Linked DNA regions of Mus musculus. The protein of the gene in region 1 interacts with the protein of each later gene in a pairwise test. Links are inferred from orthologs where the notes say so. Each region holds a gene or a part of one and is shown in the gene's direction. Other genes may lie near its edges.

Region 1 (4,295 bases):
ATATAAATACTTAATGGGAACTTAAAAAATACCCAAGAGAGTTCCCTAACATCCTTTAGTTAGCGCAGCCTAGTTAGGGGATGCTCTGTGTGCTGACAGGAAACCAAAATGGAAATACTGACCCGGAACCTGGGAGGCCGAACACAAAACTCAAGTCTGTAACCTGTCCTTTAGATCAGTTTTTCTTTTCTTCTCGAATGTTTATTTTTATATGTGTGTCGGCGTGAACCCATGACACTCATGCGCAGGTCCCCAGGCTGAACTAGATCAGCCTCTCAGGCTGCTGTGCTTGCCGACTGGACGAAACTGCATTTACAGGACGCCACGCAAACTGTTAAATAGACACCTGACACACAAGCAAGGCCTTCGGTGTCGGACGAATCAGGAGTCCGTTCACCAAGGACCTCTCCCTCCAAAGCCTGCCCATCTACTTGACCACGCACAACACGAACTTCTGCAGACAGCTGCGGCGGTCGGTTCCTCTGTGCATCTATGAGAGCGCGTTCGGTTGCTCAGCAGATATTCTGGAACGAGGAAACGGGAAAAAATGTGATCACTGTCCTAAGAGACGTCGTCGCTACTCTTCTGGACAACTGAGCGCGGGCTAAACCACTCACAACATCTGTAGGGAGTTTTCAGGTCCCCGTAGGACGTGCCAGGCCAGGGTGCAGGTGCTGGCTGCGTCCCCTCAGCTTGTGCTGGGGCACGGTCTATCTCAGGACAGGGGGCGGGGCGCGGGGACACGGTCCATCTCCGAGCACGAAGCCAGGCGCTGGGCCCTCAACAAGAGGCCTGGAAGGACCAGAACGGCGGACAGGCTAAGGTCTGAGGTCTGGGCTGCGTCTCGCAGGCACTGTGGAGTCGTGACAGCCTGTGTTCACACCTGAATTTGGTGAGCAGAGGCGACTCACAGTGAGGAAGTCGCCCTGAGATGAGCTGACTCCGCTTTCTTTAGGGCGGGGCCGCGCAGAAAGGAGGAGCGCGCGGTGAGGGAGGGGTCGCGCAGGGAGGGCGGGGCCGCGCAGAAAGGAGGAGCCCGCGGTGAAGGCGGAGCGTTCAGGGAGGCGGGGCTAGCGGTGCGGTGAGGGCGGGGCCGCGCGGGAAGGAGTGGCTCGTGATAAGGGCGGGGCGCACGGTGAGAGCAAGGACCGCGGTGAGGGCGGGGCCGCGCAGAGAGAGCAAGGAACGCGGGGAGAGCGAGGAGGGCGGGGCCTCGCAGGGAGGGCGGGGCAATTAGTGAGGGCAAAGCGCGCGGTGAGGGCGAAGCCGCGCAGGGAGGGGCGGGGCCGAGCCCAGAGGAGGCGCGCGCCGTGAGGGCAGAGCGCGCGGGGAGGGCGGGGCTTCCGAGCAGAGCAGGGCCGCGAGCGCCCTCCTTGCCGCGACTGGCCGGCCTGCGAGGGGGCGGGGTTTCCGGCGGCGGCGCACTCGGGCATCTCCTGACGCAGAGTGGACGAACGTCACGTGACACGGAAGTGACTCCGAACAGGAAGAGGACGAGAAAAATAACCGTCCGCGACGCCGAGTGGGAGCGGACTCAGAGCCACCATGAACAGCAAAGGCAAGGCCGGGAAGTGGCGGGGGCCGTCGGGGAAGCGGGCGGGTTCGGGTCGAGCGGGCTGGGGGACGTCGGGCCTGGGGCGGTCTGTGCGGCTCTCTTCAGCGGGCCGCACAGCGCGGCCGCACCTGACGTGGCCGCCCCCCTCCACCCCCACAACGCAGCCGCTCGGCCCTCTGGGCCCCGACCCCATAAACCGTGTGGCGCAGTTTGGAGCCGCGGGCTCCTGTGTGTGGGGTGGGGGGGCTTTTCCGTGACGGACAGCGGCTGGAGCGAATGGCGAGCTAGAGCAGGGATTTGGGGAAGCCAATGGAGGGCGGGCGGAGGCGGGGCGCCGCGCCTCGGAACAACAGGCCTCGGCCGAGCTTAACTGCTGAGGTGCCGGCTCCGCTGCACGGCCCAGGCCCTCGAGGACCCGTTCTCGCCCGCCGGGGACTTCTGGCGCTTCCTCCTCGGGGCCCGGACTCGTAGCCGCCCCTGTGCGTTGCTAATGTTTGTGAGAACATGGTCGCGTTCCCCACCCCTCCACCCGCCGCCCTTCTCACGGTTAACTTCCAGTCACTCACTCTTTGGAGGTCGACCTTGACTAGGAACCCGTGAGGTAAACACTGAGAACCGTGGGTCCCACAGAGTCAGGACTGGTTACAGCACAGCCCGGGGGAGATCACCCAGAGGAGTCCCCTAAGACACCAGCAGTCCGGAGACCCCGGAACGGGTCCTCAGACCTGCCCTCTATTCGAAAGGGAACATGGCCAAGTTAGCCTCCATCAATCAGTATGCTAGTGGGAACGGCGCCTTCTGCCCAGTCAGAAGCCAGCACCTTCGGGCGCGAGGGTGCCGAGACCATCCTTATTTTCCTGGCTCTAAGAAATAAGGCAGCCTTATTTGCAGCTCTTCTGCTTGCTCCCCACCCTGTGCACCCTGGCCCGTCTAGTAGCTCTGCTTACAAACTTGTTTTTATTCAAAGTGTGCCTGCCTCTGCCTGTGTAAGTGTCTGTGAGTGTGAGTGTAGGTGCCCACCAAGGCAGAAGGTAGCGTTGAAAGGAGGTTGTGTCATATGTGGGTGCTGGGAATAGAACTGGGGTCCTCAGGAAGAGCAGCACTTTGTCTCACACACTGAGCATCTTTCCTGTTTGCCACCTCCCCTCCTAATCTGACAGACAACATCTCTCCTCCCCTTTTGTATTCCAGGTCAATATCCAACACAGCCTACCTACCCTGTGCAACCTCCTGGGAATCCAGTATATCCTCAGACCTTACATCTTCCTCAGGCTCCACCCTATACTGATGCTCCACCTGCATATTCAGAGGTACTGCAGTTTCCTAGACTTGTAGCTAGTTGAGAACACTCTTGGATCCCCTTGTTAAGTCTTCAAATCTGACTTCACAAGCAGAAGGATGCTCTGTGAATCATCTAGAACTTAAGGTGAAAATTACCATTGGAATTGAATGCAGTATCTGATTATGCTATTTGACACATGCTGACTTAAGCTGAGTTTGGGTCCCTTGAGCACAATAGTAGCTGTGGACGCAAATGACTCAGAATACTGTGTGCCAGTGACTATAACCAGTGTGTAATCTGCAAACACAAGAACTAGGAACAAGGGGCTAGAGAGATGGCTCAATGGTTAAGAGCACTGCTTTTCCAGAGGTCCTGAGTTCAAATCCCAGCAACCACATGGTGGCTCACAACCACTGGTAATGAGATCTGACACCCTCTTCTGGTGTGCCTGAAGACAGCTACAGTGTACTTACATATAATAAATAAATCTTAAAAAAAAAAAAAAAAAAAAAAACAACTAAGAATGGACTCATGAGCCATGCGTGGTGGTACAGGCGAGTAGTCTCAGCATTGAGAGGCTGAGTCAGGAGGAAGCTGAGTTCAAGGCTGCCAGTATAACCAAACCCCATTTCCAAAACCAAACAAGGGGCTGGGGATGTACCTGATTTGGTAGAATGCTTGCTTAGCATGCACCAAGCCCTAGATTTGGTCCCTAGCACAATGTGAACTGGGTTTGGTGGCACAGGCTTCTAATTCCATAGTCAAGAGGTAAAGCAGGAGAGTCAGGAGTTCAAGGTCATCCACTCCTACATACTTGAAGGCTAGCCTGAGCTACAGGAGATGGTCTCAATAATACTTAAAGAGATTCCAAATAGGAATGTCACAAAAATAATGTTTTGCTTTCTCTTCTGCTTCTTTCAGCTCTATCGTCCAAGCTTTGTTCATCCAGGGGCTGCCACAGTCCCCACCATGTCAGCTGCATTTCCTGGCGCCTCATTGTATCTGCCTATGGCCCAGTCTGTGGCTGTTGGGCCTCTAGGCTCCACAATCCCCATGGCTTATTATCCAGTTGGTCCCATCTATCCACCTGGCTCAGCAGTGTTGGTGGAAGGAGGGTATGATGCAGGTGCCAGATTTGGAGCTGGTGCCACTGCTGGCAACATTCCTGTGAGTATGCCTAACTGGGAGCTCAGCCCTTGTATACTTGAACAGTCTGAAATGACTTCATATTCATTCTCCAACCATAGTGGTCAGGGCTGGCACAGCTGCTGCCCTCTCAGAGCAGAAATGTGGCCGGGCCAATCAGGGCATTGGACACAGCCCTTGGTTTTAGAGTTAATCAGGTTGATTTGTTTTCTTGTCTTATTAAATTAGTGGCATCTTCCTTTGATCCTAGCACTTAGGGGCAGAGACAGGGGGATCTCCGAGTTTGAGGCCAGTCTGGTCTACAGAGCGAGT
Region 2 (3,500 bases), on another chromosome or scaffold:
CAGTTTCTCTGTGTACCCCTTAGGACTGGGAGATCTGCCTGCCCCTGCCTCCCAGGACCTGGATTACAGGTATATGCCTATTCTGATAGGAAAATGGGACGTTCATTTCTGCCCTTGCTGACAGGAAAATCTTCCAGCTTCCTTCGGCAAGGGTTCTCTGAGCTGGAGCAAACCAAGAGTTGGTCCCATTGTACCAGATTAACAAAAAGAAAAGAGAAGTCGTCAGACAGGGTGTGATGGCTCTACCTTCCAGGAACTGAGTTGGATAAACAGATCTAAGCAAGCCACCCTGGCCTAGAGGACAGAGGGCTGCCTCTGCGGCCACTTCCACGCCTTGGGCAGTCAGGACTCTGAAACTCTGGGTTCTGGCCATTGACCTGGTCTACAAGCAAGTTCCAGGACAGCCAGCCGTTTAATTGGACATGTAACATGTAGTTTCTACTACCCTGCTCTAAGCTCCGGTGGACCTAGCTACCAGCTTCCACCCAGGAGCCACCCTAAATCTGTGAATGAAACACACACACACATTAGCTTATTTCTGATATGCTTGAGCTTAGTGTCCGGGCTCTTCTAAGCCTTCCTTGGCTAGTGTGCCCTTCTGTTCACTCCCAGCTCCACACCTCTGAATCTTTCCTCAATTTAGTTGCTCAGTTACCGTTAGTCCCAGCTCAGCACCCTAAATCTGCCCTCAGCTTAGTTGTGTTTCAAATCTCCTGCCTTGCCACCCCAGGCCCAGGCCCAATCAGGGAAGAGGTCAATGGTCACTCAGCCCACTCTGATATCTCACATGGCTGGTGGCTCTTTCTCCCTCTGAAGTATAGCACATCTTTTCTCCTCTCCCTCTAGTCTGCCTGCAGGGAAACCGGAAGTTCCGCCTCTTCCACCCAGCCATTGGCCGCTAGCATCTTTACTGATCGATCAAGAACCAATTGGGGAACAGGACCTTCAAGGTTCACATGCAGATCCCCAATCAGCATCAGAGCCACCCCATTCAGTATCACACGCCTGTAACCCCATCCGGCGGGAGGCAGAGACAGGAGGATTGCTCCATGTTTTAGGCCAGCCAGGGCTACACAGTGAGACATTGTCTCAAGTAATTAATTCATTAATAAATAAAAGATTTGGTCAAAATCTGATGCCTGCTTGCCTCAACACCTGAGGCAGCTTGCCTGATATTTTTGCAGTGGCTAATCTGTGTCACTTTTGCAACATCCTGCCCGGGCCAGGGCTTTCACTAAACAGGGTGGCACTTGTGGCTTCTCCCGAGGCCATCATCACAAGCCGGGAACCCCCATCACTCCCCTTTGTCTGACACCTGTCTTGACCAGGGGCTGGAGGACTTGCAGTTCAGTCATGACGGACAGCACAGGCAAGGACAGGAGGACAGCACAGGCAAGGACAGGAGGACAGCACAGGCAAGGACAGGAGTGCTGGACTTAGCTGGGCCTGGCCAAGGCCATCTGGAGGGAGGGATTACAGCTCTTTGAAGGCTATCAAGAGACCTTGTTATTGAGGTCCTAAGAGCAGTTGGAGGTAGGGGAACTCATAGATGAAGCTATGGTAACATTCACTTGAGCTACTCCAATGCTTTCTGCCTGAACATGGGCAGGTTTGAGAGTGTCCCCAGCACTCCCTATCCAGACTCCTCTGACTTGACCCTGGATGATAATGAAGAGGCTAAGAAGGGTTTCCTGCAGAGATGTAGGGGTGTGGCTAGAATAGAGGAAAGAATAGAGGGTGGCTGCTGGGCCAAGGTGACCCAAAGTGTCTGTGCCCATCTGTCTGTCTGTCTGTCTGTCTGTCTGTCTGAGCACGTGTGTTGCTTAGCGTGAGGTACTGACCAGCAAAGAGCACTCTGGAAGGAATGTGAGCATTTCCTCCTTCCCTGGCTGATGTGAAGGACCACCCCTCAGCCCCTTCCCCACAGTTCCTCCTCACCACAGCTCACCTGCCTCTCCTCTGCTCCCCTTTCCCAGCAGCACCTCCGGCCAAAGGGAACACAGAGCAGTCAGAAGAAGGTGACCTCCCGCAGCTTCCTGTATCCCCCAAGCCAGATGATGAGCAGAGCAGGAGCCAGAGCCCCACCCAGCTCCAGGTGAGTTAGACAAATCCTGGGAGCTCTTCCCTGCTGAGCTCAGCCTCCAGGGAACCTGAGACACTTCGAGCTCTGAGAGGGAGACAGGCGTCTCTGCCTCATGCTGCAGAGCTGCCTGGAGCCCCACCTCAGAAGGTGCGGGATATGGGTGCTAGGCAAGGCAGACTAGGTACGACAAGCCACTGCCTCACCCAGACTTGTAGCAGAACCCTGATAATCTAACAACCTGGACTCAGTCACAAAATGGACAGACATAAGTCTGAGGGGCTAAGAGATGCTCCCACCTATTGGTCAAGCTGATAGTTGGAAGCTGCAGGCCCCCTGGTACTAGGAAACACTGTGTGTCTGTGTGCATTTAGCAGTTTTGTGTGTGTTTGGGGGGGACAGGGTATCTCTGTGTAGCCCTGGCTGTCCTGGAACTCTCTCTGTTGACCAGGCTGGCCTCGAACTCAGAGAGTTCTGCCTGCTTCTCCTGAGTGCTAGGATTAAAGGTGTGTGCCACCACTGCCTGGGGCGCATTTGGCTTTTACCATACGGTTGAGGGACTCTGACCCTGCCTTCCAGGAACTGAGTTGGATAAAACAGATCAAAGCAAGATATAAAGGGGGTCCTGACCTGGAGAACTGAGGCCTGCCCCTGTGGCCACTTCCAGGCCTTGGGCTGCCAGGACTCTGGGACTCTGGATTCCAGCTGTTGACATGAACCTGGGCATTAAGCCCAGGTTGTACCCGTGAGAGCCAGGACAGGAGGCAAGGTGCTCCCAGGGAGCCCACAGATGGGGCCTAGGCACTCATTCCTTCACACAGAGGCGGTTTCCCAGTGCCCAGCTGCCCATCAGTGGGGCCCGCCCATCCATGCCTCCTGCTCTTTCCCCAGGACTCCCCTGAGGCAGGTGGGGAGCAGGAGGAGGAACAGGCCTTCCTGGTCAGCCTCTACAAGTTCATGAAGGAGCGACACACGCCCATCGAGAGGGTGCCCCATCTTGGCTTCAAGCAGAGTGCGTCCCTTGGGGGGGGAGGATGGTGTTCAGGGCGGGTAAGTGTAGGGGGGCAGCAGCCAGGGGATGTCCCCAGGCAAGACAACAGGCAAGGCACCTCTGCTAAAGGTGACCCTGGATGCCGCCAGCCTGTAGGGGTTGCCTGTGAGGACGGTGCCTCCCTGAAGGCGAGGGGTGGAGTTGGGTTCTCATCCTCATGGGCAGCCTGCCCTGTCCATAACAGTGGTCCTGCCTGGGAGTGTGGGGTCACAGAGCCTGACCGTCTGCCTTGCCTCTTCCCTTCAGTTAACCTGTGGAAGATCTACAAGGCAGTGGAGAAGCTGGGGGCCTATGAGCTGGTAAGGAAGGACTCTCTCAAGTCCCTCGCTGTGCTCCAGCCTCAGCCATACCCCCCAGCAGGAGCTAGGG
Region 3 (3,500 bases), on another chromosome or scaffold:
GTTGTGACCAGGTTCTCAACAGAATAGGCTACATAATAGCAATAGCCTTTGCCCTGAACACTCAAACAGGAGCAGAAACAAGGCAGAAGTCAGTAACCTGAGTACATTGTGAGACAAAAATGTGAAATTCTTAATGAGAGAAAGGTGATAAATTACCCTTCAAAGAAAACAAAAAATCCCCACCTAGTTAAGGTAGCCATTTTTTTTTCTTGAGCAAAGAAAAATGACTATATGTAAAAAACTGGATTTGAGTTTGAAACTAACATCTGTAGAAAAAAAGGTGACTACTTACTATAGTCATTGATTTATGTAATAATTTTCACAAAAATAACTTTTAGTTGTAGAAAAATATGCCTCACAATTTCAATGTTATAGCTAGATGGCTAGCTTCATGCCTATGGATGGATTGAATTTTCTCTTAAGTTGTATTTGTTCTATTCTTCTGGCCAATAAGGCCCTATTACTTAATAATTATTAATTTGGTCATTAGTGCAGTGTTTCTTAATTTCTTCCACCCTCCTTCATTTGTCTTCCATCTTGTTCCTTTAAGATAGGGTCTTGCTTATGTAAACCAGGCTGATATCAGGCTTGCTTATCTTCTTACGTAGTCTCCTGAGTGTTGGCCATTGGAGATATGTCCTATCATACTCAGCTTTTAGAAAATGAAATAGTTTGACTTATCAGTTCTTTTGGCATATAGTTTTCCATAACAGCACCTTTGTATACCTTATTATACTTTAGCCAAAGTTTTATTAATTAGCTAGGAGAGAAACTTAGCGGGGACCTTGATCAAGCTTTCATAAGCTACTAGATGCTTGTCATAATTTATGGGATGAAGATATTTTAAGCTTTAAAGTATCTGTGTAAAGAAGGTTCTATTTTATTTTTATATATGTTGTAACAGCCTTGGATATTTATTTTCGTCTTTGAGTCATGCTGAGTTCATTAGGAGCAATGGTTTAGATACAGGCATGTGTTGTAGTGCTCGTATGACACTTAGTGGGTCTTAACCTCCACAGTGTCCTATGAGACCTGAGTTGTCACTGACGTAATAAAAGTAAGATGTCAAAACACCAAAAAGCAAATTAATTAAAAAATTTTTTGTTTAATTTTTGTTTCCTGCCCTCTGGTGGAGAAGTTAGTGAAATAAAAGTGCATGAAAAGCAGGGGTGAGAAACCTATGTTAGTAATTGATGTGCTAACAGTAAGGGCTAGACATGTGGTGCATGCTTATGCTCTTCACACATAGGAAGCTGAGGTAAGAGCATCACAAATTCAGTCAGACTTCACTACATGACATTGTTTGAGAACAAAACAAACAAAAGTCTTGGGAGCTAGAGAAATGGCTTGGTGGTTAAATGCATTTGTAATCATGAGGACTGGAGTTTAGATCCCAGAACTTATTTTTTTTTTTTCCATTTTTTATTAGGTATTTAACTCATTTACATTTCCAATGCTATACCAAAAGTCCCCCATATCCACCCACCCCCACTCCCCTGCCCACCCACTCCCCCTTTTTGGCCCTGGTATTCCCCTGTACTGGGGCATATAAAGTTTGCAAGTCCAATGGGCCTCTCTTTCCAGTGATGGCCGACTAGGCCATCTTTTGATATATATGCAGCTAGAGTCAAGAGCTTCGGGGTACTGGTTAGCTCATAATGTTGTTCCACCTATAGGGTTGCAGATCCCTTTAGCTCCTTGGCTACTTTCTCTAGCTCCTCCATTGGGAGCCCTATGATCCATCCATTAGCTGACTGTGAGCATCCACTTCTGTGTTTGCTGGGCCCCGGCATAGTCTCACAAGAGACAGCTACATCTGCGTCCTTTCAATAAAATCCCAGAACTTATATAACAAGCTGGGCAACACTGCAAAGCCTGTAACCCCAGTTTCAAGCCAGCTTTCTGACTTCCAGCCTGATCAAGAAGAAAACTCCTTAAGCTCAAGGGAAGGACCATGCTTCAAAAGGAAAAAAGTTGTAGAATGATAGGGGAAGGCTTGATGCTTGCACACCCTATACATACATGTGTGCATATTTTCACATGGACATATGATATACTCACAAAAACACAAAAGGTTGAGTATATGAAAGTTTAAATGTTAGAATTTCAGGCTTATTTTATAGTCTTGGTTTATACAATTTGAGATAATAAATATGGGATTGAAATGATAAGAAATCAGAGACAAATGTAGTGGTAATGCGTATATTCTTGGTACCCAAAAGATAGGAGACCCCTTTTAAGGCTGGGCAATAGTGGCACCTGCATTCAATCTCAGCACTCAGGAGGCAGAGGCAGGCAGATTTCTGAGTTTGAGGTCAGCCTGGTCTACAGAGTGAGTTCCAGAACAGCTAGGGCTACACAGAGAAACACTGTCTTGAAAAACCAAGTTATTATTTGGTTATTTATTTGAGACAGGATTTCTCTTCATAGTCCTGGTTGTGCTACAACTCACTATGTAGAGTAGTTTGGCCTTTAACTCATAGAGATCTGCCTGCCTCTGCTTCCCAAGTACTGGGATTAAGGGCGCTAGTGCTACCACATTGTCTCTCCTTCTAAAAGAGAGCTCTCTGAAGTATACACAATTTTGTTTTACTGAAAGATACTTTATTGTTGTCTTTAAGGGCCTTCTTGAAGTATCACAAAGTTTGAGAGTGGAAAACGAAGAGTTTATGAAGAGATACAGTGATGCTACAGCTAAAGTTCAACAGCTTGAAGAGGACATTGTATCAGTGACACATAAAGCCATTGAAAAAGAAACTGACCTAGACAGGTATCCCTGGTATTTTAAAGAAATCACTTCGGTTATTAACAAAGCTACTTAGGGTTTGACTAATGTTTTTTCATCTTACACAGTTTGAAGGATAAGCTCAGGAAGGCACAGCATGAGAGAGAGCAGCTTGAATGTCAGCTGCAGACAGAAAAGGATGAGAAGGAGCTGTATAAGGTAAAGTCCTTTTCTAGTGTCGGCCTCTGCTTAGCCCCAGTGGGCTTTTGGGGTTGGGGATTGGAGAGCAGTTCAGCTGGGTGCCTGGTCACTTGTCTCGTTATAGTCACGAGGATGACAAGGACTGTAGTCAGCTAATGGGGGGCCTGGACAGTGTACTTCCATGGTTGACCATGCTTTAATAGGGAGATCCTCATAGCTTTTGTAAGGAGGTTCTTCAGTTGTCTCTAGAAGGCCTCTTGAGTGTCATAATTATGATGGTTGACTTCAGAGTGAGCAGTCCAAGATGGGAAGGAAACGAGATTACGATAGTGGATACTGTCCCTGAAATGCAGTATTTGGGAAATTTGCTGGTGTTTTAGATACATAATAGGTACTGTATAATAAATGAAAGCTTAGTGATGACAGGATAGTTGTTTATCAGAATTTCTATAAAGTGTTCTCACCTTTTAAGAATATACATATTTTCAGTGATGATGCTTAATATTTTTTACATTATTTGTTGTGTATATACATGAACATCCGTGATTGTATGTACAAGTGTGGGCATGCAGAA
Region 4 (4,041 bases), on another chromosome or scaffold:
TTTCTGGTATGTCAGTTTTGAGTCTCCCAGAAACAGAGGCCAGTCTCAAAAACCCAACACCTCTCATCTTACAGCAGTGGCTTATCAACCTTCCTAATACTGTGACTCTTTAATACCATTCCTCATGTTGTGGTAACCCCCAACCAGAAAATTAGTTCATGGCTACTTCATAACTGTATTTTTGCTACTGTTATAAATAATGTAAATATCTGATATTCGACCCCTATGAAAGAGTCGACGCCCAAAGGGTTCATAAACCACAGGTTGAGGCCACTATTCTTAATTTAAAACTTAAAGGGAATCAGAGATAGCTTATTCTGGACCCATTTTTGAATGATGATGGCACCAAAACACAAATTTAGGTTACCTCAAATTCCATGTCCCAACATGGAACCAGTATCACGAGGTTTTTAGTTTTACAGAACAGAGAACGCTATAAATCAAGGCAAAGTTTAAAACACACTGGTGGATGGATACATTGGAGGGTACATCAAGATAGAGGAAGCTTTTCTATACATCTAAGACATTATCCGATGACATTCTTAGCTTTTGGATTGGCAGAGGCTAGTTGCCTGTTAATAGACCTAAAAGGTTTTTAATCTTATTGCCACAAGATATTAGTTTTGACACAGAGGTGGCTATTCTGGAGGGCTAGCACTAGCCCAAGATAAGGTAATTAGCCCCTGGACCTGCAACATTCCAATCTTTCCACAGTACTGAAATTCCAACTTATACAACTCAGTCTCTGCAGACATATGCTTTTAAAAGTTTTCATTCGCAAGACCTTTAGAAAGACTTCCCTTTTCCCTCATCTCTTTACCCTCGATTTTAACAGGACTACTGACAGCCAGCTTGGAGCCTGTCTACAAAAACCTCTAAACACAGAGAATCCAAACTCCGCTTTCAGTCCCTGGGTTGCGGTGAGCATCACCGGCCAGGGGGTTTCCTTTGGGTCTTTTGGACTCAGGAAGCAGGGAAACCTTCCCGCGCTCCACCCAGAGGGAAACAGCCCAGGCTCCCGGAGCCACGCGGCCCTGCCTGCAGTTTCGTGGGCGGCCGGCTGGAGGCGCAGTGCAAGCTGGGCGGGGCGGGCGGAAATAACGGGCGGCCAGGTCGGCCTCCCCGCTTCCTTTTCCGGTGCCAGGAGGAGCCGTGTCGCTGTCGTCTCGGTCCATCAGGCCTTCAGCGGGTCTCCATTGCCCGTCTCTCTGGACTCACCGCCGCCACTGTGCCGCGCCTAGGACTCGGATCCTGCCGGGTGAGTCCGCTTGGGCGCCTGCGGCGGGGCGCGAGGCTGGCGGGAGACGATGCGAAGACGCGGGGTCCCGGGGGGCCTGGCGGCTCTAGAGCTTTCGATGGGGAGGGTCCCCCGGGAACCAGGCGACCGAGGGATCTAATGTCGCGCCCGTCGGGTTCCGGGGCGCCCACGTCATGCCAGGCTTGGGCGGGGGCGGGCGGGGGGTGAGGGGTTAGGCGGGAGCGGGCGACCCTCCCCCACATCCGCCTGCGTGACCGGCTGGGGGCTGGTTCGCTCCGGTTGATCCCGGATTCCCTTTGTTCCCTTAACCCTAAAGGGCAGCTTGTTTGTCCCCCACACCCCCCCCCCGTCCCCTTGCCCCTCCACCGGTATCCCAGCCACTAATTTCTAATAAAAACGACAGTGGAGGAGACCCGAATCCTTACAGCAAGGTCTGGCGCCTGATAATTCTGTGTGACAAGCTTCTCGCTGATCGTAATTACCCATTCTTTAAATGACTACGGGGGACAGAAGGTGCCATGGGCTGAGTGAGTGACGTTCTCCTTTGAGCTAGCTAGAACGCTTGAACCATTTTTTTTCCTCCCTGCCATGAAAACTGAAAGTAATGTTTTCACGAATCCTAAAGTTGAAGTATCTAAACCAGACCCCACCGTAGATGTGTAACAGCCTACTACAGAAACACACACGTGTTGCCCCCTCCCCCATGTGCGAAAGGCCTGTTTGGAGGCCAAACCCTCAGAAGCTGGAGTCGCCCTCGGAAGTCTTTGTTAGTGGCGCTCCTTGGGTGGGGAGGAGGGCAGTTTTTAGTCGTGGAGTATTGGAGCCACTCTCTAGAACACTTCCCTTCAAAAACTTTTTCCTGCAGCTGCCGAGGTTGGAATGTTCTTTTTGATTACAGAAGGAATCGGTGTCATCTTCATTCTCCCTACAGAGGTTGAGCGTTGGGCTCAGGAACCTTAGGAATTCAGCAATCTTGAGATTCTGTGACTGTTAACTATAGAGGAGCCCTAGACTCGGGGACTGTTAATTAGTAATATTTGCACAGGGTGAGCCTGTAGATAAGTGCTAGCCCGGCTTGCTACAAGGTCCTAAATTCAAGTCCCAAAACTTTAGGGAAGGAAAGAAAAAAATTCAGCAGTTGTAACTATTCAGACTATAGCGGGGAGTGGGTGGAAAATGAAATGGATAAATAATGTCGGGTCAGCTTTTGCCACCAAATAAGTTTGTGCAGTACTTAGGAAATTGCTTTTTTTTTTTTAGTTGCTCTCTGCTTTGAAAATAGACAAAGGTTTGTGGCCATATTGTATCGGTTGTAAAAGCTAACATTTGTTGAGTTTTTTGCTCAGTGCCAGGCAGTGACTTAAGAGATTTATTTACAGATTAGTATAATAAGCCTCAGCAAATCTCTGGAAAATACCCATTTACTGCCATGTATGGGACTCAGAGAACTGGATTTGACCATAGGCCAGGCAGGCAGTCTACTCTGGTGGCTTTTTTGTTCTGTGTTTAAGTGAGAAGGAGAAGATGGGGCTGCAGTGTGGAGAGAGATGGCTCAGGTTGAACACATGCACTATTCTCGCAGGGGACTGGAGTTCTGTCCCAGCATTCACAGCCACGTATAACTCCAGGACATTAAGCACTTCTAGCCTTCTGGGGAACCTCCATGGAAGTGAACAACCCCGTGTATAGTTTTTAAAATGTTAAGAATGGCAGGAAGAGAGAATTGGACATTTGTTGCTATTTTCCAGTTTTAGTCACTGGGTCAGATGAAGTCCTGTTTAGTTCCTGTATAGCATGACAGCCCATTCTAACTTCATGAAGAAACTGAGGTTGACTCAGTCAAGTAAGCTGTAAAGCTATTTAGCACTCTTGTCCAAAACCCTCTGCTAAAACGTCTTACTGCTTTCTGGTATTCCAGCCAATTTGAACTGCATCTGCTTTCCCCCAGACTGGTCTTCCTCTGGTTTTATACAAACTGTTCTTACCCCGGAGCCTGTCTTTAACCTAATACTCTAGCTTTTATTCCAGACTGCAGAGATACCACTTCTCAGGAATGTCTATGCCATGCCACTAATTACTCTAAAGCTTGGGTTCCAATTAATAGGAATACATTATAAGAGCTCCTACTATGATGTTCAAAACATTCCAAGCTTTTTTACTTACCCAGTTATAAAATGGAATATAATCTGATAAATTACCCAGTACTGATCCAGAATCTGCTTTCAATATAATATATACTAATGTAATGCCCAAAATTAACCTGTAAGCCTCACCCTTCCAAGAACCAGGTAACTTCCAGAATGCTAAGAGTTGTAGTTCTTGGAAAACAATAAAATCTTGTGGGAAAGTATGGGGGCCAGTGAGTTTTGTCCAGAAAAGCCCCTCCAACATGTGTTTCCAGGCCACCCAGCTGGAGGTGCCAGTTAGTGGTCCTGGCCAAAGTCCATCTCTTGGTCAGTATTTAATATCTAATAAAGCTTCCTTCAAATTTGGCCCAAAATGGTGGAATTGGTTTTTCTCTGGTAAATCTCAGAATTAACACTGTCACACTCACCCATACAAAAATCATAGAAGTCCTGATTTTCCTTGATTTCTCTGAATTTATTTATCCATATGGTCTCACTGCCTGTGTCTTTAGATTCTTGAACTTCAGCTGGTGGTGGGGTATCGAGGAGGCACGGCTTTTACAAGATTGTTAAGAGCCTTGCTTTTGTCCAGAAGGTTTAATGTTCGTGTTTAAATATGGGGTCTTATATTATTTGGTCTCCAGTCAAAGTTTGGTG
Region 5 (4,116 bases), on another chromosome or scaffold:
CGGGTTTCCAGTGCAATCCGTTAACATCCGACCTCCACATTCACTATCATCACAGCGGGCTAACGGCATTTTTCCCTCTTTCTCTCTAGAGACTCCTGCGCCATGAGAGCGAAGGTGAGCGGCTCTTAGGTGGTGAATCGGGCACCTAGTCCCCGCCATGGTTCCTCTGCGGGCTTCCAGACGGTTTGCCTCGGGTGTTCGCAGTCAGGGAGAGGCTTAAAATTCTTGCTGAAGAAAAGATGGGGTGGGAAAATGAGGGATTCGGCTCTAAAACTGAACCGGTGTCCTTTGTCAAGCCCTGTGTTCTGAGCAGTTTCATGGCCTTGCACAAGCCTGTCTCTAACATTCTTTTTTGTCTCCTCACATGATCGGGTTTTTTTAGTGGCGGAAGAAGAGAATGCGCAGGTACGTTTAATTTTTCAAGACTACCTTGGGGCAGTGGGGGCAAGCTCGGTGTGGGATATTTGGTTGGAAGAAAATATCTGGCGGGAAGGAAGCAGGAGTCGCCGCCCAGTACAGCAGAGCTGGTGCTTGTTAATCTCATCGTCTCTTGTACTCGTGCACTAAGTGTACGTATTGATAGATGTGCAAAGGAAAAAAAAAAAACTCAGGTTTGTGTGCCTTCCATTCCAGGCTGAAGCGCAAGAGAAGAAAGATGAGGCAGAGGTCCAAGTAAGCCAGCCCGTGCACCTACGACGCCTGCAGGAGCAGAAGTGAGGGATGCTGAGGGCCGGGACAAGCTATCGGACTGTGTGCTGCCATCGGTAATGAGTCTCAGTAGACCTGGAACGTCACCTCGCCGCGATCGCCTGGAGAAATGACCGCCTTTCTTACAACCAAAACAGTCCCTCTGCCCTGGACCCCCGGCACTCTGGACTAGCTCTGTTCTCTTGTGGCCAAGTGTAGCTCGTGTACAATAAACCCTCTTGCAGTCAGCTGAAGAATCAAACTGCTGTTACGTGTTTTTTTGCGGTTCCTTGGGGTGGGGACTCGAGTGTGTTTCTGTATAGGCGACATAGTTTGGGTGTTTGATCTGGCTGGAGCCGGTTGAGTGTGCGCCCGAGGTTAAGTTACAGAGTTGGTGCGTTCACAGCGCCACTCCTACGTTTTGGGGGTACCACTGCGTAGAACCTGACGCTGAGCGGAGTTCCGGGTCCGGCGGAGTCCTGTTACCATGGTGATGCGCAAGGCTTGTTGGGAGCTTCCTGCGCCTACTAGCACGCAAGTTGGACCATAGAGTGTGTTTCCGGGTCTGGTAGCTAGAGCGTCTCTTTCTTCCGCAGGAAGCGGAAGAACCGTAGGGTGGGCGGCTCTTTGTCGAAGCTAGAGGACCGGCAGGCGGCAGCAGCAACTACGGCGGCGGCGGCAGGTGAGGGAGGCGGGAGACTTAGGTGGAGGCCGCGCCCGGAGGGGAGGAGTCGGGGATGGCCCAGCGACTGGGTTCTGCCCGGCCACACGAGCCTCCCCCAAACCCCCCGGAACCGACCTGGCTCTTCCTCGTTACCCAGGACAGAGCCCCTTTTCTCACTGACCTCGCTTCCCAAGCAAACGCCAGCCCCGTGACGTCACAGCCCTGCCCATCCCTCCGCCTGATGTCACCCCGAGCCCCCCTCCCCTTTCACTTCCTCAGTGTCCCAGTCACCTGGTCCACCGCTGAGTGCTGGCACCGCATCGCGGAGCCGGCCAAGCCAGAAGACTTCCAGGGAAACTCGTAGGACTTTTCGTGAACTCTAGGGTGTTGGGGGATGGTCGTAATCACCGCCCCCGAGTCTAGTCTCGCCTTCCCACTGACACTAGTCAGTTGTTGCCCTTGTCCAGCTTTCAGGTTTGGCTGGCGTTCCGAACTCCAACCCTAGATCGGATTCTGAACCCCATATCCTTCTCATCTTGAGGTAAAGCTCCGCTAACCTTCCTCACCAGGAACTGTTTTGTTTTTTAGTTCAGCTTCCCAATTTTTATTGGTCGGTTCTAGCCCTTATCCTTCTTAATAGGGACTTCTCCTTGTGATAGGTGACGTTCACTTTGACCTCTTAAGGGAGCCTAAAAGCCACAAAGCTCTTAGCTTTTTGTCAGAATTCATTCCAGTGTATGAAAACCACATCATATCCCTTTCACGTTTTTCCCTTGTTCTACTCAAATCTCCGTTTTTTGTTTTTTTGTTTCTTGTTCAGAACCCAGCAGTGATGTGGAGGTGGAGACTCACGGGAGCCCCGGACTTCACCTGAGCTACCTCAGGTATTAATTCTGGGATATTGGGGTGAGGAAGGCTATCATATCCAGTTATCTGCTTCTAGTGGGACTTGAAACATTGGTCAGGCTTTGAAGGCATTTAGTCTTCACCTGATCGTCATTTATGATCTTTTAAGGGCTTGTTTCTTACCAGTTGTTTCTTATATTCTGGGGCTCCTTTTCCCATCTTGTGTATTCCTGTGCATCTCTGACTTCTAATCTGGTTAGTTATTCTAGCAAAGTCAAGGAAGTCAAGGAAACGGGAAATCAAGAAAGGTATCTTTATTCCCAAACGGAAACTAGGAACTTCTCTTATTTGAACAGTAGGGGGAGCCTGAGTCCTACTCAGGGAACATTTAAAAGATTAGACACGTGGTAGCAGGGACTCCCAGTCTTAGACTCCCAGGGTTAGAGAGAAGGGAGGGCTAGAATTAGGGCAGTGGACTGACATTCCAGAGCTCTCTTGAGAAACAGGAGACTTAAAAAGCTTTTATAGAGTCTATAAATAAAGAGGATTTTTATGGGGTAAGGAGTGCTATGGTTTGATATCAGTGGGATTTTCATGGAGTGGGGTGGGGAATGGGGAAAGAAAGGTCACCGTTCCTATGAAAGTAACTCCTTTCCACCTTGTCCTTCGAACAGTTCGTCCTGGGGATCTAAAAGTAGAAAGTTCAGCTCAGAACGTCTTTCCATGAAATGAGGGTGTTTGTGTGTGGAACACACTGGGAGATGGACAGGTTTCAGGGTTACCCTGTAGCTAGTGACACCAGTTTTGTTTTGTTTTGTTTTGTTTAACCAGGGATTTCTAAAATACATGGAGACTTGAGCTGAGTTTACGTAGAAGAGGGATTAAGGGAAGTTCTGTTTCTGGTGTTCCTTCTTCCATGAGTTCTCAAAGCTAAGCAGCCCGTGTTAGAGCACTCTTTCCAGTGTCAGTCTGTTCACACACCAACACCTGTTTTAGTTTCTCCCTCACAACTTAAATGAGAGAAGGTAAAAATCTAACACTCTCCCCTTCCCTCCCCCTCCTTGGCTGAGCATCATTAGTAAGATGAAGTGGCTTCATCCCAGCTCTCTCCCTCCTGTGTTAGCCAGGCAAGTGTGAATCACTCCAAACAAGACCAGGTGCATAAGGGCCTGGGCGGGACTTCTGGCAAGTCAGCCGGGCTAGCTAGAATTCTCCTTGGATTCTCCATCTCCCAAAGCCATTGCCCCAGAAGCCTGCCCACTGTATGGTCAGGAGAGAGGGAGCTTTCCGGAGGACCCCTTTCTGACACAGTTCTCTTTTTTAACAGTCGCCAAGAGTGGCAAGAAAAGGAAGAAGACCCTGACTTGGGGGGGACCAGGATGCCTGACCGGGACAGCTATGCCAACGGCACTGGCAGCAGCGGTGGAGGCCCTGGAGGTGGTGGCAGTGAGGAGGCCAGTGGGGCAGGGACAGGCAGCGGGGGAGCCACCTCAGATGCCATCTGTAGAGACTTCCTGAGGAACGTCTGCAAACGAGGCAAGCGATGTCGATACCGCCACCCAGACATGAGTGAGGTATCCAATTTGGGGGTAAGCAAAAATGAATTTATCTTCTGCCATGACTTCCAAAACAAGGAGTGTAGCCGCCCCAACTGTCGTTTCATCCACGGCTCCAAGGAGGATGAGGATGGCTATAAGAAGACAGGAGAGCTGCCTCCCCGGCTGAGGCAGAAAGTGGCCGCTGGGCTGGGTCTCTCACCCGCCGACCTACCCAATGGTAAGGAGGAGGTCCCCATCTGCCGCGACTTCCTCAAAGGTGACTGTCAGAGAGGAGCCAAGTGCAAGTTTCGTCACCTGCAAAGGGATTTTGAGTTTGATGCTCGCGGTGGAGGAGGCACTGGAGGTGGAGGCTCCACAGGC
Region 6 (3,500 bases), on another chromosome or scaffold:
CCTACCCCAGCTCCAGGGCCTCAGTCTCCTGTTACTTCCAGCCTTCCCTGTCCCTTGTCTTGCCTGTCCCCTATCCCATGTGCTCTCCCTCCCCATTTCTGGGCACTGTTCTAGAAGATTCTTCCACCTAGGAGCTAGCCCTTCCTCTTCTACGTAGGCTGGCCTTGCTTTGCTCTGGGAAAGCAACTTTCCCCATTCCTAGAGCTGCCCCCCATCCTTCAGCTTCTATCGCTCATACCCCATGGTTACCTCCTTCTCCTGTGGATGTGCCTGGCCAGAAGACTGTCACTGCCCCGTCTCTATCCTACTCTTCCTGGTGCACATGCAGACTTAGCCCCAGCCAGAGCCAAAGTTCATGTGTGTCCTTCCTGCCCTTCCTCTGTGTGCCGCTCTCTGCCCACCCCACCTCCATCTATTTCCACCTCCCATCTTGTCTTTCGTGCACTCCATCCACAGACTCGTCCACCCACCCTACTGGTCCCCTGCTGTGCTGTGTGCTGTGCTGGCCAAGCCTCAGCTTGGTCCTCAGAGCTGTGCTAGCACAGCAACATTCTCCCTGAAGGTGCTCTATCTGGCAGACTTGCCCCGACTTGGGGTGCTCCTCCCCCCTCTCCTGGGGCTTGGGTCCCTGACAGCCTTTTTCTTGTGCAGACGTGGAGGTGGATGTGGATGAGCTGAACCAGGAGCAGGTGGCTGATCTCAATAAGCAGGCCACAACCTACGGCATGGCTGATGGAGACTTTGTCAGGTGAGAGTGCTGGCTGGCATGCCAGATTTTGGCTATGCCCTGGCTTCTGTATCACATGCCTGCTACCAGCATCTGTTCTCAGCCTGTGAGCTATGAATTTGTAGCCCCACTTTCTGCAGAAACAGATCTTGTCCTACAGCGTGACCTGGAAGCTACTAGTTCTTTGGGGACAGCACCCTCTAGTGGTCATCCCTATGCATGTTCATATGACAGTGAGCAAGCCTCTGCCACTGCCTGTACTTGGTCATGCCACACCAAGCACTCTCTTTACATCAGTGGCACCGACAGACCAGAAACCATTTTTGTGTGGCACTGGGGATGAATCCCCAGGTCCCTGCCCTGGCCTATTAGAACCCTCTAGCTCAGAGGTTCTTCCTGACCCCGTGACCCTTTAATACAGTTCATCATGTTGTAGTGACCCCAAGCATAACAGTATTTTCACTGCTGCTTCCTAACTAATCTTTGTGGTGCTCTGATGTAATGTAAATGTTTTGGAGATAGAGATTTGCCAAAGGTGACAGGACCACAGGCTGAGGGCCGCTGCTCCAGTGCTTTTGCCCTTAAAGGATTAAAGGTGCTTGTTGCTGCCCCCACTACTCAGCCCAAAGCAGAGAGCCTGGAGCTGTGCTGATGGCTGGCCAGCCCCAGCCATCCTCCTGCCTCTGCCTTTCACAGTTACAGGCATGGAGTAGCCACACACAGTTTTTAAAGTGTTCTTGTGGGGTTCTCCTTTCTGTTTTGTTCTGAGTTTTATGTGTATGGGTGTTGTGCCTATATATAGTTTTGTGCATCATGTGCAGGCCAGCAGAGGGCGCTGGATCCCCTAGAGCTGAAGTTAAAGGCAGTTGTGAGCTATCAGATGTGGGCGATTAGAAATGAACTCAAGTTCTCTGGAAGAACAGTAGGTGTTCTTGACCTCTGAGCCATCTCTCCAGCCCCGAGTGCCAACTGTGAGGGTGCCTCACAACCAGTTCCAGGGCATTCACCAGGCACACATGTGACAGACACATGCACAGGCAGAGCACACAGAAATCAGGTCTAAAACCAGCTCTTTTAGGTGCTCAATAAAATCTATTAAACACAGAAGGGAAATTAAGTGTAATAGCGCATACCTATGATTCTGCAGTCTTGAGGCTGAGGCAAGGTTATGAGTTCAAAGCTAGGCCCAACAGAACAAGACCCCATCAAAGGGAAGAACAGAAAAGGAAAGGGTAGGGTAATGCCTGCCTGCACATCCCGTGGCTACAAGGATTTCACCGTGAGTTAAAGACCAGCTAGCCTACAGCAGAGCCCTGGTTCAGGGAGAAAGGAATCATGGAGTAACATCAGGTCCCTGCTGTCTTTGCTGCCTTTACCAGGGCTCTGCCCACTCTGTGACCTATGCCCTTCATGCCCATCCTAACTTCCTCTGCAGGATGCTACGGAAAGATAAGGAGGAGGCAGAGGCCATCAAACATGCCAAAGCCCTGGAGGAGGAGAAAGCCATGTACTCGGTGAGGTCTGGTAGGGCTCGGGGGTAAAAGTGGATCCAGTGAGGGCACACCTCACCGTCCTGGTGCTTCCTCCCCATCCAGGGCCGTCGTTCCCGGCGACAGCGAAGAGAGTTCCGGGAGAAGCGGCTGAGAGGCCGCAAGATCAGCCCTCCCAGGTAGGATATCTCCTCTGCACAGCCAGGGGCTGGAGAGTGGAGCCCAGCCTTGGCAGTGGGGCGACAGTTACAGAGCTAGGAGTAGCTGGAGGCATGGGAATGCTTCCCGGGCCACCTGCCCCCCACCTCTCAGTCAACCTGCTGGGCCCAACACAGCCCACCTGCACTGGTCAGTGTCATCTCTACAGGGTCTAGATAAGAGGCTCCTTTCTTCTGGCTAGTTTCCTCCATTGTAAAGTGGAGAGAGGCTACTTCCCACAATGAAGTCTTGAGAGGATTGGGAGAGCAGTTGCATATGAGTAGAGAAGAATCTGGGCCTGGGAGCCCTGGGCAAATGTCTGAGGAAGGTTTGGGTGTGACAGTGTAAGGTTAGCAGCAGGCCACAGGCCCCTCCACACAGGGCACTGCCACCAGAGGACGTTACTTACCCTCACAGGGACCGCTCCTCCCCTATGAAGAGTGTGAATCCTCAGACTCAGATACTGCACTGAGTTAGTTGGACATACTGTTGTTTTCTCGCCAGCACTGATGTCACCATGCTGGGTACTGGTCACCATGGCTTCCAGTGTAGCACTGGCAGCACCAGGGCTGTAATAAGGAGACCAATGTGGGATCCCCACAATGACATGGGGTGTACAATCTGCAGCACTGGGGCTCAGAGTGGAATAGTTGACACTAGCCAGCCTGGTCTCAGCTCTCCTGCCCTTCCCTGTTCTCTCCATAGTTATGCCCGCCGAGACAGCCCCACCTATGACCCCTATAAGCGGTAAGTGTCAGTGCTCTGGAAGAAGTCACTCCTGTTTGGGTCACTCCTGTTACAGATGGCATCCTGTGGTCTATGGATAGGGGTTGGGTCTATATCAGTTTTGTTTTTCCAAATTTTTTTTTTAATTTAGAATCTCTTTAGGACATAAAGGGGCATAGAGATTGGGTGTGTTTAACACACGACTCCCAGAATTAGTGAGAAACTCCCCTCACTCTCTGCTAAGGCCAGGGAGTGGGGCCTTTTGTGTTGGCCTGCTTTTCCCTAAAGGGAGTCCCACTAGGCTCAGTGTTTCATGGGCTGGAATTAGCTGAGGACCTCCTCTCCAGGTTAAGCAGGAA
Region 7 (2,510 bases), on another chromosome or scaffold:
TGGGTTACATAGTGAGTCCCTGTGGTAAAGAGGACAGCCAGGCCTGGTGCCCATGCCTATAGTCTCAGGACTCTAGAAGCAGAGGTACCAGGAACCAGAAGACTAGGAATTCAAGATCATTCTTGGCTACTTAGTAAGGTTTTTTTTTTTGTTTTTGTTTTTTTGAGACAGGGTTTCTCTGTATAGCCCTGGCTGTCCTGGAACTCACTTTGTAGACCAGGCTAGCCTTGAACCCAGAAATCCGCCTGCCTCTGCCTCCCGAGTGCTGGGATTAAAGGTGTGCGCCACCACGCCCAGCTGCTACTTAGTAAATTTATGGCTAGCCTAGGCTACTAATTATCTCTGTGACAGGACAGAGGATATATAGCTAGTGACAGAGCACTTGCCCAGCATGCACGAGGCCCCATGTTCAATCCTCAGACCTAGGAATGGGGAAAGATTGAAAACTCTGCCTGAATTCTTGCAGCCTTTCTGCTGACCGCCATGCTGTTCTCTTTGCTCTGCAGTGCTGTGCTGTGGCTTTCATTGAGAAATTAGACGCCCAGTCTTTGAATTTAAGTCAGGAGGATTTTGACCGGTACATGTCTGGCCAGACATCCCCCAGGAAGCAGGAGTCTGAGAGTTGGCCCCCGGAGGCCTGCTTAGGTGTGAAGCAAATGTATAAGAACTTGGACCTCCTGTCTCAGTTGAATGAACGGCAAGAAAGGATCATGAACGAAGCCAAGAAACTTGAAAAAGACTTAATAGACTGGACAGACGGGATTGCCAAGGAAGTTCAAGACATTGTTGAGAAATACCCACTGGAGATTAAGCCCCCGAACCAACCCTTAGCAGCCATCGACTCTGAGAATGTGGAGAACGACAAGCTCCCTCCCCCTCTGCAGCCTCAGGTGTACGCAGGGTGACGGCCCTGTTTATTTGGGGCTGGTTTCTGGGAGCTGCTGCGTTCCACTGTTCAGGTCCGGAATATGAACTGACTGCTTAAAGTTTCAAAGTGTTTTTAGGTACAGATTTAGGGATTGGTTATTCTCTTTTTTCTTCTCTAGCGGGGAAGCTTAGTAAATAATAATGTACTATTTATTTGAGCTGGTGGAGTAGGTTTGTGTGAATTCTGTGTCGCTCTTTTATGTCCTGCCTGATTTCCCATGGGCTTCCTCTGTGTAGACACTGTTGTTGGTTTTGGGCAAACACTGCCTTTTAAAGGATAAAACAGATGCTATAAAGTCTATGTTGAAATGAATTCTATGTTCCCACACTCCCCCAGTGTGAAATAATTTTGTAATTGTAAAGATAGAAGATAATGTTAATAAGTAAATATGTAAAATTGTAAATATGTAAAAAAAAAACACATAGGGCTGGGGAGGGGTGTCTCAGCGTGCATGGCATTTCATGAGCTGATGTTTTTTTTTTTTTTTTAGGTGAAAATGAAATTTATTGAATGTTTGCCTTTAGCGCCATTTTATATGGTTTGTCCCACTAAAAAGAATCTAAAGAATTTGAGCTTTAACAGGACATTGGCACTAACTGCCCTAACTTGAGATTCTTTCTGGTACATGTGAAGAAGTTGTAACGCCAACTTTTAGGTCACATACAGAATTATTCTGGGACCCTGGGGTGGTGGCTCAGTCAGTAAAGTGCTCTCCATACTGATGTGAGGACCTGAGCTCCCTGTCCGGCCCCGGGTGAAAAGCTGGGCATGGTGACACTCACTTGGGACAGCTCTGCTGGGAGCCAGAGTTCCTGGGGCAGGGGGCATCGCTGTCAATGAGACACCTCGTGTAAGCAAACAAATCAAGATGGACGGCTCCTGAGAAATGATAGCCAAGGATGCCCTCTGGCCTCCACATGGCCACATATGTGCCTGTGTACCTCTACATACATGTGTAGCACACACACATGAACACACAGTTGCTGATTAGTACAGTTGACTTGGAACTGTGCTTGCAGCTTCCTTTCCCTGTTTATCCAATAAACTTCCCCCACAGTGCTGTGGGGCTATTGCCTTTTTTATCTGATTGGTTTTGTTTTGTTTCTGGGTCTTTGGGGACGGGCTGTTGCTGTGTAACCCAGGTAGCCCTCAAACTTGTGATCTTCCTATCTCAGCCTCCCTCCCGATGTTGGGATTAGGGGTCTCTTACCACCACACTCAGCTCCTTCACACAAATCATCCCAGAATTCTGTGATACAAAGATGTGCTCTTAGATGGGAGTTGTAGGGAATGAATGAGGCTTCTGGAAGTTGATGGGGGAACTTCTCAAAGCGTGAAGCAAGCAGATGCCTTGCGCTCTTCATAGTCTGCTTTAACTTATCAACAGGCAACAGAGTCAGCAGGTCACATAGACATCTCTCAGAACTTTCAACCTCAGAGTTGACCATTGGGGTCTAAGATTTTCCTGTTATGGCAAGACTGCCTTGTACATTGTGGGATATTGAGTAGGATTTCTGCCTTCTGTACTCAGATGCCAGCAGCGCCCCCCCATGTTTGTGGGAACATGGCCTCCATTCATGTG

Evidence for each region.
Region 2: the proteins of Dazap2 (region 1) and Arid5a interact in binary tests that used the Homo sapiens proteins (3 or more experiments, as listed by UniProt). The two-hybrid records come from large-scale screens. The link is inferred for Mus musculus from reciprocal best matches to the Homo sapiens genes DAZAP2 and ARID5A.
Region 3: the proteins of Dazap2 (region 1) and Tax1bp1 interact in binary tests that used the Homo sapiens proteins (3 or more experiments, as listed by UniProt). The two-hybrid records come from large-scale screens. The link is inferred for Mus musculus from reciprocal best matches to the Homo sapiens genes DAZAP2 and TAX1BP1.
Region 4: the proteins of Dazap2 (region 1) and Mapk1ip1l interact in binary tests that used the Homo sapiens proteins (3 or more experiments, as listed by UniProt). The link is inferred for Mus musculus from reciprocal best matches to the Homo sapiens genes DAZAP2 and MAPK1IP1L.
Region 5: the proteins of Dazap2 (region 1) and Zc3h10 interact in binary tests that used the Homo sapiens proteins (3 or more experiments, as listed by UniProt). The two-hybrid records come from large-scale screens. The link is inferred for Mus musculus from reciprocal best matches to the Homo sapiens genes DAZAP2 and ZC3H10.
Region 6: the proteins of Dazap2 (region 1) and Clasrp interact in a two-hybrid assay, tested with the Homo sapiens proteins (2 studies listed by BioGRID and IntAct). The link is inferred for Mus musculus from reciprocal best matches to the Homo sapiens genes DAZAP2 and CLASRP.
Region 7: the proteins of Dazap2 (region 1) and Rabgef1 interact in binary tests that used the Homo sapiens proteins (3 or more experiments, as listed by UniProt). The two-hybrid records come from large-scale screens. The link is inferred for Mus musculus from reciprocal best matches to the Homo sapiens genes DAZAP2 and RABGEF1.

The regions. Positions count from the first base shown.
Region 1 is NC_000081.6:100,614,167-100,618,461, forward strand, and holds the start of Dazap2 (DAZ-associated protein 2), read left to right. Parts: upstream 1-1,495; 5' UTR 1,496-1,545; coding exon 1,546-1,558; intron 1,559-1,883; exon of another isoform or gene 1,884-2,156; intron 2,157-2,746; coding exon 2,747-2,865; intron 2,866-3,758; coding exon 3,759-4,004; intron 4,005-4,295. UniProt on the Homo sapiens protein: In unstressed cells, promotes SIAH1-mediated polyubiquitination and degradation of the serine/threonine-protein kinase HIPK2, probably by acting as a loading factor that potentiates complex formation between HIPK2 and ubiquitin ligase SIAH1.
Region 2 is NC_000067.6:36,314,233-36,317,732, forward strand, and holds part of Arid5a (AT-rich interactive domain-containing protein 5A), read left to right. Parts: intron 1-1,976; coding exon 1,977-2,095; intron 2,096-2,971; coding exon 2,972-3,092; intron 3,093-3,377; coding exon 3,378-3,430; intron 3,431-3,500. UniProt on the Homo sapiens protein: DNA-binding protein that may regulate transcription and act as a repressor by binding to AT-rich stretches in the promoter region of target genes.
Region 3 is NC_000072.6:52,734,229-52,737,728, forward strand, and holds part of Tax1bp1 (tax1-binding protein 1 homolog), read left to right. Parts: intron 1-2,621; coding exon 2,622-2,770; intron 2,771-2,853; coding exon 2,854-2,944; intron 2,945-3,500.
Region 4 is NC_000080.6:47,297,148-47,301,188, forward strand, and holds the start of Mapk1ip1l (MAPK-interacting and spindle-stabilizing protein-like), read left to right. Parts: upstream 1-1,241; 5' UTR 1,242-1,258; intron 1,259-1,628; exon of another isoform or gene 1,629-1,785; intron 1,786-4,041. Other genes in the region: uncharacterized protein Gm35078, read left to right, coding at 836-1,241.
Region 5 is NC_000076.6:128,544,947-128,549,062, reverse strand, and holds the start of Zc3h10 (zinc finger CCCH domain-containing protein 10), read left to right. Parts: upstream 1-1,316; 5' UTR 1,317-1,369; exon of another isoform or gene 1,370-1,892; intron 1,893-2,171; 5' UTR 2,172-2,235; intron 2,236-3,524; 5' UTR 3,525-3,576; coding exon 3,577-4,116. Other genes in the region: Rpl41 (60S ribosomal protein L41), read left to right, coding at 103-114, 383-405, 634-676. UniProt on the Homo sapiens protein: Specific regulator of miRNA biogenesis. Binds, via the C3H1-type zinc finger domains, to the binding motif 5'-GCAGCGC-3' on microRNA pri-MIR143 and negatively regulates the processing to mature microRNA.
Region 6 is NC_000073.6:19,587,487-19,590,986, reverse strand, and holds part of Clasrp (CLK4-associating serine/arginine rich protein), read left to right. Parts: intron 1-651; coding exon 652-748; intron 749-2,162; coding exon 2,163-2,241; intron 2,242-2,322; coding exon 2,323-2,396; intron 2,397-3,120; coding exon 3,121-3,162; intron 3,163-3,500. UniProt on the Homo sapiens protein: Probably functions as an alternative splicing regulator. May regulate the mRNA splicing of genes such as CLK1. May act by regulating members of the CLK kinase family.
Region 7 is NC_000071.6:130,212,328-130,214,837, forward strand, and holds the end of Rabgef1 (rab5 GDP/GTP exchange factor), read left to right. Parts: intron 1-506; coding exon 507-905; 3' UTR 906-2,010; downstream 2,011-2,510. UniProt on the Homo sapiens protein: Rab effector protein acting as linker between gamma-adaptin, RAB4A or RAB5A. Involved in endocytic membrane fusion and membrane trafficking of recycling endosomes. Stimulates nucleotide exchange on RAB5A. Can act as a ubiquitin ligase.